Linked DNA regions of Drosophila melanogaster. Changing the gene in region 1 together with any one later gene gives a genetic interaction. Each region holds a gene or a part of one and is shown in the gene's direction. Other genes may lie near its edges.

Region 1 (4,874 bases):
GATCAAGAGCAGCTGGGTAAGCCCATAATTGATGAGGTACTAAGCGCCGGCGATGTACTATATTTCCCGAGAGGCGCTGTTCACCAGGCCATCACCGAAGAGCAACAGCACTCGCTGCACATTACCTTGAGTGTTTACCAACAGCAGGCATATGCCAATCTTCTAGAGACACTAATGCCCATGGTTCTTAAGAAGGCCGTCGATCGGAGTGTGGCCTTGCGTCGCGGCTTGCCGCTGCACACTTTTCAAGTTTTGGGCAATGCCTACAAGGGAAATGACTGCGGGTCGCGCAAACAGCTGGTGGAGAATGTGCAGAAGCTGGTGACCAATTACTTGATGCCCTCCGAAGATGATATTGATGAGGCCGTCGACCAGATGGCCAAGAAGTTCCAGCACGAGGCACTTCCGCCGATCGTATTGCCCTCGGAGGAGGTGCGCACTGTTCATGGGGCACGCAGTGATGCCGATGAGCAGGGCAACTGCGTCTGCGATTACAAATTCAATAAAAAGACATCCGTGCGCCTGCTGCGTGCCAACATTCTGCGTCTGGTGACCGAGTCCGATGGCAGCGTGCGTATCTACCACCATGTGGACAATGGCCTGGATTACTGCAAGTACGAGCCCTATTTCATGGAGATTCTGCCAGAGGAAGCTAAAGCCGTTGAGCTCCTCATATCGGCCTATCCATTTTACCTCACCATTGATCAGTTGCCATTGGAGTCTTCAGCTCGCAAGATAGAGGTCGCCACCGCCCTGTGGGAGCATGGTCTTCTTATGACCGAGAAGCCGTTTAAGTAGACGGCAATCGAAAGCGAGTTGCTGTTGATAATTAGAATTAAGTATCGATGCGAATGTGTATCTAAAACGAGCGTAAATTAATATTTTTGTATAAATATGTAACCAGATTTATAATGCTCCTATTCTGCCGAAAATAAAGCACCCACATTCGCACATATATCTCGGTTGTTTTTTGGTGTTTCCAATAGTTGTAAATTTTATTTTTTTCACTAACAAAAAATGGTTATCTTAGGCGCTGCGGATTTTCTTGCGTTCACGATAAAGGCTTTCCTGTTGAACTGAAAAAGAAACATGGGCAACATCAGTGCATATGCATAAAGTCAGTGATGGCCGGCACTCACTGTACGGATCGAAGCGTATTATCTCCAATTTGTCGGCCAAGCGATCGCGAAAAGCATTAAACTGATGTCCACTGACCACACTTTCCAGTACGACCATGATGCGCCTGTAAAAACGGTTGGTTTTAACAAAAAGAACAAATTGGATGTCCAAATTACTCACTTGCTCTTCACCTTTTTGAACAAAACGTTAGTTAGACGCATTTTGATTCGGTAAATGGGGAAAATGCAGTGAATTATGGAAATATGCCGCTGAAATTATTGTGCAAGCAAGACGATAGGAACGAAGAACAGCTGACTGCGCCTATCGATTACCACCCGAGGGCTCAAGCTTTTCACCCGGATATTTTGAAAAACAATCGGTGTCCACGTATGATGAGTATATATTTAATATTACTATATTTATATTTGATGCATTTATGTCTCTCTGTTTTAAAGCCTTCCTTTCGAAATTGCTAAAAAGCTCTCAGATGCAATGTGGTTAGTAGAAGTCATTCACATATGTATCTTTGGTTGAAGTCCCTGCCAATTAAATATTAAAAAGTTAACATACAGGTTTGAGTCCGTGCTAGAGACTGCAAGCTGTGCCACTGAGGTTAACAGAAGCCAATCGATACCAAGCGCAAGCACTGAAATGTATCGTCGAGAAACATCGGTGGTCAATGCATTCGATGCTTTTTTACATCACTAACACTCGTGCGAAACGGACGCGAATTTTCATTTGTGCTGCGGAAACCAACAACAACAGACAACAAATAAAAACAAACGAAAAACAAAACGGTCAAAATTCCGTGTAAAAAAACTGAAGCCTTGGAAAAATAGAACGAAAAACATAGACGCACTAAAAGCTCAGTGAAGTCCTTTGTGGGCGAAACCGTATAATAAAATAAATCACAGCCACACGCGCTTTCTGTAACTCCTTTTCGCCTTGCCCTGCTCTTGTTTTCCCTTTTAAATATTTTTTTTACGAGTTGGTTTCCCGAGAATTTCCCATACTCGCGCGTGGTAAACAAGACTCATTTTTTTTTTACAGTGTTTGTTTTTTGAAAGTGCAGAGAAGCTGACAAGAAAGAGATAACAACATAAAAACAGAAACAGCCAAAGAGTGGCAACAACAAACAAACCAACCAAACGGAATCAAAGTCAAACAAACGCGAACGCGAAGGAAGCTTCAAAAGAGAGACAAGAGCGTGAAAAGGAGGTGGAGAGGAGCTGCGGAGAATCTAAGGTAGGAGGCAGATTGCGAAAAATACGTTTTTTTGTTTTTTGTTGATTTGCATTTGCATATTCAAAAGTTCTCTGTTTTGAGGGTTGCAGAAGCGAAATTAGTTTTTAAAGCCCGCTTAGTAGCCAATTTGCCGGAATTGCACATTGGAATTCAGTGTGTTCCTAAGTACATAAATCACTAAAAACTAACGGCAAAAATTCAAATAGCTTTCAACAAATATTTACAATTACTCATTGATAAAAGTGGTAATGTGATCCATGTGTAAGTTGTTAAATTATTTTCGTAGCGCATTTGTACGAATGAAAGACTGCAGTAAAAGTTTTCGATTGCATGCAGATCGCTTTCCGAGTTTAAGAAGAAAAGTTGTGGAAAACGTTTTCCTTCTTTAGAGACATCAACTTAATCAAATATCGAACAGCTAGTAAGCCATTGAAATCACATCAGTTTCTTTCTGTGCATCTGGCAAAGTGCTTGATTGTTGATATTTCGAGAGGGGGTTTTCGAAAAGCGATCGGAAATCCAAATTGTAAATGATTTACCAAAAACGTAAACTTGGCCGTGACGAGGGGCAAGAAATGGTCGAAACGTGGGCTGGAGCGGAGCAGGAGCAGGTGAAATACATAAACAAACAAGTGCTCGAAGGAGGGTTAGTTGTGGGAGGGGCTACGCAAATACATAAGTATATGAATAAATAATATAAACAAAATATTAAATTAGAAGAAATTTACTTGCGCGCACGCCGACGCAAACACGAACACAAGGTGCTGGTTGTTGTTGTTAGGATGGTGTGGATATGTGGTGGGGAGGGAAAAGCACACATAAAATTGAAGTATTCAAATTTACACACGCAAAAAACGACGTCGGCAGAGCAAACAACAATTTGCCAGTCCGCCAGCCCTCTCGCTCGCACCCATCCGCACTTGGTCGCCGCGTCTCGCTCGCACTAACGACGGCCACTTGTTTTGCCCTCTGTCGACGTCCACGCAGCCACTGTGCACTGAAAGAAACAAAAGACATGGTACAACATATTCATGAATCGCTTGTAAGATTGATATTTTTTTATAAACGCTCACTTTTCTGTTAACAATACAATATTTTACTCGAAAAATTTAAGAGTTTAAAATATTTAAACTTTAGTGTAAAATCACTGAGTTATTCGACACTGTTATTTCAAAATAAAAAAAATAATGATTTACGACCGATAAACAAAACAAATTTAAAAAAATTGAGCCGCAAATACTTTAAATCATCCAATTCCCATTTAGCTTTATCATTTTTTTTCTTTTTAATTTTGTAGGTGTTAATTAGCAAATACTCATATTTTCCATCTCTCGCCCAAGCTGCAAATGTGCATTATTCAAGCTCTACTGTAGTTCTACGTAGCTTACTTTTTGTGGCAAGTGTGGCGATCAGAAGCTTTATTATGCTTCTCCCTCATTTCCTTTTGTTTGTTTGAACTGCAACCGAGCGAAAGGGGGCGTGCCAGTGGGCGGTGGGTGGCCTGGGATTGTGCAATAAAGCTATAATAATAAAATAACAAACAAACCGTTAAAGCGAACGCCGTCGCACACTCATCGCACCCACACAAACGCACCATAGGTATTGGTGTGTGGCTGCATGATGGGGCGGAAGAAATGGAGAGGAGAACGGCAGGCGAAGGAACAATAATCATATTTGCACTTGCTCTCTCGCACGATCATCACCCACGCAGAAAGAGCGGGCAAGAGCAGCAGAGAGCGCCGGTACAGTAGTCATTCGTCGCACGTATATAGCTGGCCATAAAAGTGGATAGTCATCAATGTGTACTGTTTAGTTTCATAGCATTTATAGAGCAGTTTAGTTTGTTCAATATATTCATATGCAGATTAATTATTTAAATCAGCACTTATCCGTCTGCACAAAAAGGCCCCACTGTACTTGAGATAAAAGTTCTCCGTTGCTGGCTCTCCGTTCTCAGTTGGTCAGTGGTCGTCCGCCGGAGCTTTTCCCGTTAGTCCGCTCGCATAATATAATCCGCGATAAACAAGGGAACACGGCACGGAGAGAGAGCGAAACGGCAACGTGTTTCGTTTTGGTGTCAGTTTCGGTTTTGTTTGCCGCATGTTTACCCATTGTATTATTATTACCTGTTCTATTTCTTTTTCTTTTTTTTATGTGTGTACATTTTCACAGCAATCGCATATTTTTTGCAGTGGCTGTGAGCTGAAATACAAAAAATAAAAAAAACAAGTGCAACCAAATACAGTGTTACCTGTTGTGAGTAAACTTAAGGAAACGTGGAGAGAGCGAGAGAGTGCGACAGCCGACTGATCAAACTGTAAATCTTGCAATGCTCTTCAAACTGAAATTCGCAAGGCGGGAAAAAACAAACAAATATAAATAAACAAGAATAACAAACAAAAATAGGTAGCAAAAGCAGGAACAACAAAAGCCGAAGCCAATTAATTAAATACATATCTACGTAAGTTAAACACACAAGCCAACACGAACTATGATCAGGACACTGAGAG
Region 2 (4,503 bases), on another chromosome or scaffold:
TTTGAGCAGCCGCTCCATCATCCTCTCGCTCTCTCTCTCTGCGCTCTCACCTACCCCCACACGACGGCGCAGCGGCAGCGACGTCGGCAGAACACTTGCCGCCGTTTACCCACTCACACGCACACTCACACACGCGTCACTCACACTGGCGAGCGCGAATCCATTGTCGAACATAAAAATACAAAAATCAAATCATAGGTGTTTGTTAATTATACACTGTGCCCTGGAGCCAGGGTGTCACGGTTCGTTTGAGAAGTTTGGACATGTCACGTAAATACCAGGTATTATAATAAAACGCTATTATTTGAATATAATAATAATATTATATTATAAGCATATTATATTATACTTACTTATACTTTACTTACTTATTAAATTCGTGAAATATACAGAGCATACTTTCAGGTACATACACCCCGAACTCAAATCTTTATCGTTATCAATACACGATCAACATAAATGTATTATTGTCGTATTAAATATTACAGAGAAGGGCATTCAAAGTGCCGGGTAAGTTTGGTTCTGCCTCTCTAGTTTCAAATTTGCCCGCCTCATTGAGCAGGAAAACAACAAATTCCCCAACAATAACAACGTCTACGGATCGCAGCGTTTATCTCGCTTATTTGCTAATGCTAAATGATCGTCTTCTTCCCCGCCTTCGGCGGCCTTCTTCCACTTCACATCGCAATGTTTGTTGCAAGTTGGCTTGTCCATATGTCTCTGTTGTTGCTATACCCATTTCGTTACTTGGCTTTTATGTTTGGGCCATCTAGCAGGTGGGCGGGGGACTTTTGTTGTTTAGCGAAACCCGAAAATGCCGAATAAATTGAAATGCGATTCATGGTTTATACCCAGATTATTTGTATATATGCATACACAGAACTGTAGGTAAATACGTAAGTATGGGAACCGCAAGTGCGGCTAACGATGACGCCAATATAATGATCATGATGATCAAATTGATGGTAATGATAATGGCGATATGAGCGCAGCTTCCGGTTTTGCGCCTCGGTATTTTTGTTAGTTTTTTGCGCTGGCTAACTTTATATGAATATTTATTACCTGCGCTTTTTTTGTATTGTTTTGCGGTGTGTAATTGATTTAAACCGAAAGATCTGCCGACATGTGTCGACTGTCACACCAGCTGACAGTTATTTCGGTTTAGTTCCATATTTGGGTTGGGCGCAAAGCGTGGCATCCCATTTGGCCATTTGGATTAGCCTAAAACTTGACCCAATTCAAGCTGATGTGTTGAGCCATCGCACAAAGGCGAACAAAAGGCTTTTATGCCAAAGCTGGACTGACAAAATAAAATCCAAGCTGCCCACACCAAAAAGAAAAGAAACAAAACATGTTCGGAAAATTCAATGGAGGTGCGAAAAGATCAATCAGCACAAAAAATCCATAAGCGGCTTAGCGTCTGGGGTGTTCATATTCTTAATTTAAATAGATTATTTTACTACTTCCAAAAGCTGGCATTCTTTTTAAGATAATCCAAGATTAGCAGAGCCCTCAAGATGTGCGTTCATCGGCGCACACACTGCGTATACTTGATTGCGCATACGCACTGGTGTCGCAGGCGAACGATACTGATATTTCTTCTGCTACGATATGTTTTCATAATATTCTTCAAATTTGTCTAGGCATTGACACATTAAATCGCTGACTTTCGCCATTGCTTTCTGCACAATCTGGAGACTCAAGAATAATACTCGGCCAGAACCCCCAGTGGAAACCCTTGAAATGCCTTTAACTATTGACATTGGCCCATTGCGATGTGCGCTTGCTTTCGTTATGGATATTATGATTATAAGCCAAAAGCTGTCGACACTTTCCTCTGCACATTGCAGACATATTTTTAGGCTGGCCTAATTGAATTTCAAGAGCAGGGGTTACACGAGCACCGCGAAAACTATAAAAGCCATGCGGCAGAATGCAGACATTGCAGGTTTCCAACGACCAATCGCCGCGACTAGTCCGCCCCAGTGAAATATTCAGAATCCAGGAACCCTTTATGTAAAAAGTGTTAGAAATATTGTTAGTGAATTTGCAGCTTTTTATGTAGACAGTGTGATATAGGCGGGATATAGTGACGCAGCCAGTAACCAAAACACAATGGAGAGGTACGATCGGTGGATCCACTGGATGTTCTGGTTAGCAATTTAACATTTGCTTCGGTGTTGCAGCTTTGCAGTAGCAGCCGCGCAACTGGGGCCACACTTTGCCCCCCTGTCCAATGGATCGGTGGTGGACAAGGTCACGCCCGACATGGCCCACCTGATCAGCCCGTACTGGAACCAGTTCCCCGCCATGGACCCCATTTGGGCCAAGATCCTGACCGCCTACATGATCATGATCGGCATGATTTCCTGGTGCGGAAATGGCGTGGTGATCTACATATTCGCCACCACCAAATCACTGCGCACGCCCGCTAACCTGCTGGTCATCAACCTGGCCATCTCCGACTTTGGCATCATGATCACAAACACGCCCATGATGGGCATAAATCTGTATTTCGAGACCTGGGTGCTCGGACCCATGATGTGCGACATATACGCCGGACTGGGCTCGGCCTTTGGCTGCAGCTCCATCTGGTCCATGTGCATGATCTCCCTGGATCGCTACCAAGTGATCGTCAAGGGCATGGCCGGCCGGCCGATGACCATTCCGCTGGCCCTGGGCAAGATTGCCTACATCTGGTTCATGTCGAGCATTTGGTGCCTGGCGCCCGCCTTCGGCTGGAGCAGGTGAGTCCTTGAAATGGTAAACCTTCTGGGAACCCATTTTTTAAAAAATGATCAAAGCTACTATATACAAATGTTTAAAAACTTAAATTACAAACAAAAGGTTTACAAATTACAATTGTATTAATATTATTACCACCTAACATTATCCTATAAATATATATTCTTAATCTAAAAGGTATGTGCCGGAGGGTAACCTGACCTCGTGCGGTATTGACTACTTGGAACGCGACTGGAACCCACGCTCATACCTGATCTTCTACTCCATCTTCGTGTACTATATTCCGCTGTTCCTGATCTGCTACTCTTACTGGTTCATCATTGCTGTAAGTGGCGACGAGACTCGCATATCCCAGTCGCTTAACCCGATATATCCTCCCACAGGCTGTCTCCGCCCACGAGAAGGCCATGCGCGAGCAGGCCAAGAAGATGAATGTCAAGTCCCTCCGCTCCTCTGAGGATGCCGAGAAGAGCGCCGAGGGCAAGCTGGCCAAGGTGGCTCTGGTCACCATCACGCTGTGGTTCATGGCGTGGACACCATACCTGGTCATCAACTGCATGGGACTGTTCAAGTTCGAGGGCCTTACACCACTGAATACCATTTGGGGAGCTTGCTTCGCCAAATCGGCCGCCTGCTACAATCCAATTGTATACGGCATCAGGTTGGTTATGGGCTATGAAACGTATATACCTTAATATTTAACCAATTTTTTATTTTCATTCCGTATAGCCATCCGAAATATCGCCTGGCCCTCAAGGAGAAGTGTCCTTGCTGCGTCTTTGGCAAGGTCGACGATGGCAAATCGAGCGATGCCCAATCGCAGGCCACCGCCAGCGAGGCCGAGTCCAAGGCATAAATTCTTTGGCGCAACAACCAGAACAGCAACAACAACAACAAGAACATCTAACTACTTACAACAGCAACAACAACAGCAACAAAAACAACAGCAAGAACAACTGCAGCAACAGAACGAAACGCTTTCGAATAACATCAAAAACTTCAACAATAATGAAAAAATTATGCAACTTTCTTACATAACAAAAAGCAATGTAAACTCAGTTATTAAATTTCCTGCAATGTCAGTTAAGGACAAAAAAAAACTCAACAAAAAAAATAAATGCAAACGAACTAGAAAAGTTATAAATTAAAATGAGCCTTTTCAAAACATAGTATATCTAACAAAAGCAGCTTTTAGCGTGGAAAAACCCTAATGACGAACCTACAAAAGTTCGGATATCAACTTTCGGTTATCTTTCGCCTTTAAAGTTTGGAGAACCACAACAAATTTGAGTTTATTCATTCTTATATGTATAATAGTCTTCTTCAGAAGCTATAAATCCTTTCCAGTTAACAAGAAATACCCCTTTTTTGCAAAGCACTTCACAATATATTATCTATTTCAGTTTTTGTTTTCTTTTTTTTTTAAATTAAAGGCACTTATGTAAATTCCATTTTTATAAGTTAACATGCAATCGTTAAAACTGGACACACAGACAACGCCTTTTCGAACTCAAAGTTGAAAAGACATGAGTCAGCATGGGAGAACTTAACCCAGGGCTGCTGGAGACTCATTGAGCTGAGCCTCGCAGCGGTTAGTAGCACATGGAGAACATTAACAATTAATCAGTAGTATCTGTAAAGGCACAACTCAGAAAGCTTTCAACTCCAGTCACTCGCTGCACGAATCGTACTCGCTTTCGCTTTTCTTGATTTTCGTTTTGATGCCCGGCGTTCCGGGAGTTGTGGTTGTGGGTGATG
Region 3 (3,945 bases), on another chromosome or scaffold:
GTGCCGCGCATTGACCTCCTGGGCGGACTCACCACGCTCCAGATTCCAAATCCTAAAAAGGTGACAAAAGTGGACAGTTGTTACTAACCATAAAAATGTCCTGTTTTTTGAAAGCCTAAGATCATTCCACTTACCTTGTGGTAAAATCATAATTGGCCGATGCCAAGACCGCTGCCGAGTGCGGTGAACAGGCCAATCGCCGGACAGCGAATTCTCCAGAGTACAGCTCAAAGACGTGCGTCCTCATCTTGCGCAGATCCCAGCCGCGGATCAGACCGTCCGAACCTCCAGTGACCAGGACATTGCGATCGAAGTGCGACCAGTCGCAGCATAGTGCCTCACTCGCATGCGCCTCGATGCTCATCAGGGGTTTACCTGCAAAGTCAAGAGAGTTCCATAAGTTAAGATGTCCATCGGTACTTACGCTTGCAAACAGATTGGCGATCAGGGGCGAGAACTTGGCCCCGTAGATCAGATCGTTGTGGCCCACAAATGTGGTGATGGAGTTCTGTCTGTTGCAGTCCCACAATTTCAGTGTACAATCCCAGCTGCCCGAGAGCAGCGTGTGGTAGTTCCACTTCTCGCCCCAGTCCAGGCTGTACACCTCGTTCTTGTGCTCCTGCAGGCAGATCAGCGGCTGTTTCGGCGTCAGCTGGTTGCTCGCCGATTCGCCATCCAATCCGCACCAGATCTGAAGCGATCCATCTCCGGAGGCAGTGGCGGCGATATCGGCGGCATACGGACACCAGGCGACGTCGAACAATCCATCGGACCACTCTAGGCGGCACAGCTCTCCGAGACTCTGGCCATCTGTGGATGAGGAATTTGTGTTGGAGTTCTGTTCCAGCAGAAAGAGGGAACCACCTCCAGCAAGACCGTACAGTTGGCTGGGTATCGAAAAAAAATGGTTTTCTATTAGTATATTGTTGGTTTTAGAGCTTAAGATTGATCTCACCTTGTAGCTAGCAGCAAGTAGTTAGCCTCGAAAGGCGAAAAGCGCAGGCTATAGCCATGTCGGTCTGTGGTGGTGTGTGTCTGTGTCTGCATCTTGGTTCTAGATCTCAACTGCAAAGAAAAAAAAAGGAGAGATTCAAAATAATACCAATTTCTCTGGACCTTAAATATTATCTAACATTAACTACAATGAATTGCGACCTTTGGTAAGCTAGTTGTAAGAAATGCCAATTTCAATTATACCTCTCACATTAAAATCAATATATCGACGTTTGATACATAACAAAATTAAAAACATCTAAGGTTTCTCCTTGCTGCCCACTGATGTTTGGCTAAGAGAGAACAAAACTGGCCGATTGATAACAACCCGGTAACACCAAATCGGATGCTAATCCAGCTCCAACCTACCATGCTCAATTATTCAACAGTTGGCCAAATGACCTCGTACTAGGTCGGAAAATCGGAAAAAGATACTTGACATTAGCCAATTTGCTCGGGCAAGTGGCAAACTGCGCAGAAAATAGAACAACCCCTGGAAGCAGCTTGTTTGCAGTTTTCCCTTAGTTCCTATGGTTCTATCTTATTGTCGTGTTGGACAAGCCAACAAACAAGTGCATAACGAGCAAATCCAGTTAGTGGCCAGAATGAAGACCCACGGACAGGGCCAGGGCAAAGGTATATAAGCAGGTTGTACGGCACTTGGGTTTCGCATTTTCCTCCGCCGAACGGAAAACTCTATAACGCGCATCGCCCGACTTAGCCTCGAATTGCCCAGTTGCATTTGCCAGGAATCAAAGAAATCCACTAATCCACAATGGTTGTATCCGTGAAGGTCTTTAAGAAGGCCACGCCCAACGGCAAGGTCACCTTTTATCTGGGACGCCGCGACTTCATCGACCACATCGACTACTGTGATCCCGTCGATGGAGTGATTGTGGTGGAACCGGACTATCTAAAGAACAGGAAAGTCTTTGGCCAACTGGCCACCACCTATCGCTATGGTCGCGAGGAGGACGAGGTCATGGGAGTGAAGTTCTCCAAGGAGCTTATCCTGTGCCGGGAGCAAATTGTGCCCATGACCAATCCCAACATGGAGATGACACCGATGCAGGAGAAGCTGGTCCGCAAACTGGGCAGCAACGCCTATCCGTTCACCTTCCACTTCCCGCCCAATTCGCCCAGCTCCGTTACTCTGCAGCAGGAGGGCGACGACAATGGCAAGCCCCTGGGCGTCGAGTACACCATCCGGGCATTTGTGGGCGACTCCGAGGACGATCGCCAGCACAAGCGGAGCATGGTCAGTCTGGTGATCAAGAAGCTGCAGTACGCTCCCCTCAATCGTGGCCAGCGTCTGCCCAGCTCGCTGGTCAGCAAGGGATTCACCTTCTCGAATGGCAAGATCAGTCTGGAGGTTACGCTGGACAGGGAGATCTACTATCATGGCGAGAAGACGGCTGCCACCGTCCAGGTGTCGAACAACTCCAAGAAGTCCGTGAAGAGCATCAAGTGCTTCATTGTGCAGCACACTGAGATCACCATGGTGAACGCCCAGTTCAGCAAGCATGTGGCCCAGCTGGAGACCAAGGAGGGCTGCCCCATCACTCCGGGCGCCAATCTCACCAAGACCTTCTACTTGATTCCGCTGGCGGCTAACAACAAGGATCGCCATGGTAGGATTTGGATGTGATAGTTGTGATTCTGGATAGTTTCTAATGGATTATTTAATTGTGAACTCAGGTATCGCCCTGGATGGTCACTTGAAGGACGAGGATGTCAACCTGGCTTCATCCACCATGGTGCAGGAGGGCAAGTCCACGGGAGATGCCTGTGGTATTGTCATCTCGTACTCGGTGCGCATTAAGCTCAACTGCGGCACTCTGGGAGGTGAAATGCAGACGGATGTGCCCTTCAAGCTACTCCAACCGGCACCTGGTAAGCTTTAGAAGATTACTTGAACTTGACTTCTAGTTTGTAATTCCTTTGATGTGGTATAGGAACCATTGAGAAGAAGCGCTCGAATGCCATGAAGAAAATGAAGTCCATCGAGCAGCACCGCAATGTGAAGGGCTATTACCAGGATGATGACGATAATATTGTATTCGAGGACTTCGCCAAGATGCGCATGAACAATGTGAACATGGCGGACTAGGCCACCGATCTTCAATCTCTTCTAGCTCTGTTGTGAACCGAATTGAACTAAATCGAAAGCACTGAAAATTTGTTGCAGCAGTCTCTCGTGGAGGCCACAATCTTTGTATTATAATCGTATCTATAATGTAACTTTGGTGGATCTGGAGTTTGTACCCGTACATATGCATGTTGATGAGTTGAACAGACCTCGTGTCGCTATATTATAAATGTGTTATGGCTATCAAAAGCACTCACCTTTTCTCTCGTTTGCGATGTAGTATCCAAAAGTGATTCGGTAAGGATTCGGTTTTTGGTAGTGGATTGTTCTTGGCGGTGCTGTGGGTTTCAACTTCAGAAGTCGAATGATCTAAACAACTGCGCAGCTCGACGACGAAGGATCTGCTGGCAGGAATTCTAAGGGTGATTTTTCAACGATGACAGGGGGTTGAAAAGCCCAATGCTTATAGGTCACATCGTAGGCTTTCAACCCCTTGCAAGAAGCAACAGGCTGCCAGGATATGTGTTCCACCAATCAGGATCAACCAGAACTGGATATGGCCGGCTCTAACGGTCAACGGAAGTTCCAAGCTCCAGATGTTGACAATGCGTTTGCCAAAATACACAATTTTTGTGTATGCTAAATAGCCCAAGCTTTTGACCTTGATGATGGCTAAGGCCGCCAGCTGCCAGCAGTTTGATTCTAGGTCTCATCCCCGTCAGTCTAGCTGATTTTCCTCTTTTTTTTGGTTTTTTCTATTTTACAATTTTCTCGCATTTTATTTGCCATATCTTATATAAGCCCTGCAGCTGACCGTTGGAGCATTGCACAATCCGGGGCAGCAGCGTCGATCGATTTCACAC

The links. A genetic interaction does not mean that the proteins touch.
Region 2: of norpA (region 1) and ninaE, changing one suppresses a phenotype caused by changing the other (phenotypic suppression), as found in Drosophila melanogaster (3 studies listed by BioGRID).
Region 3: of norpA (region 1) and Arr2, changing one suppresses a phenotype caused by changing the other (phenotypic suppression), as found in Drosophila melanogaster (3 studies listed by BioGRID).

What each region holds. Positions count from the first base shown.
Region 1 is NC_004354.4:4,320,792-4,325,665, forward strand, and holds the start of norpA (no receptor potential A), read left to right. Parts: upstream 1-1,834; 5' UTR 1,835-2,364; intron 2,365-2,817; exon of another isoform or gene 2,818-3,010; intron 3,011-4,556; 5' UTR 4,557-4,825; intron 4,826-4,874. Other genes in the region: NO66 (nucleolar protein 66), read left to right, coding at 1-798; mRpL33 (mitochondrial ribosomal protein L33), read right to left, coding at 1,027-1,076, 1,140-1,243, 1,300-1,340. UniProt on the Drosophila melanogaster protein: The production of the second messenger molecules diacylglycerol (DAG) and inositol 1,4,5-trisphosphate (IP3) is mediated by activated phosphatidylinositol-specific phospholipase C enzymes. Essential component of the phototransduction pathway.
Region 2 is NT_033777.3:19,885,643-19,890,145, reverse strand, and holds ninaE (neither inactivation nor afterpotential E), read left to right. Parts: upstream 1-1,939; 5' UTR 1,940-2,115; coding exon 2,116-2,123; intron 2,124-2,186; coding exon 2,187-2,747; intron 2,748-2,922; coding exon 2,923-3,070; intron 3,071-3,128; coding exon 3,129-3,406; intron 3,407-3,474; coding exon 3,475-3,601; 3' UTR 3,602-3,891; downstream 3,892-4,503. Other genes in the region: Ask1 (apoptotic signal-regulating kinase 1), read right to left, coding at 4,415-4,503. UniProt on the Drosophila melanogaster protein: Visual pigments are the light-absorbing molecules that mediate vision. They consist of an apoprotein, opsin, covalently linked to cis-retinal.
Region 3 is NT_037436.4:8,646,649-8,650,593, reverse strand, and holds Arr2 (arrestin 2), read left to right. Parts: upstream 1-1,657; 5' UTR 1,658-1,768; coding exon 1,769-2,624; intron 2,625-2,691; coding exon 2,692-2,886; intron 2,887-2,948; coding exon 2,949-3,103; 3' UTR 3,104-3,333; downstream 3,334-3,945. Other genes in the region: Pex7 (peroxin 7), read right to left, coding at 1-52, 135-887, 956-1,047. UniProt on the Drosophila melanogaster protein: Regulates photoreceptor cell deactivation. Arr1 and Arr2 proteins are mediators of rhodopsin inactivation and are essential for the termination of the phototransduction cascade.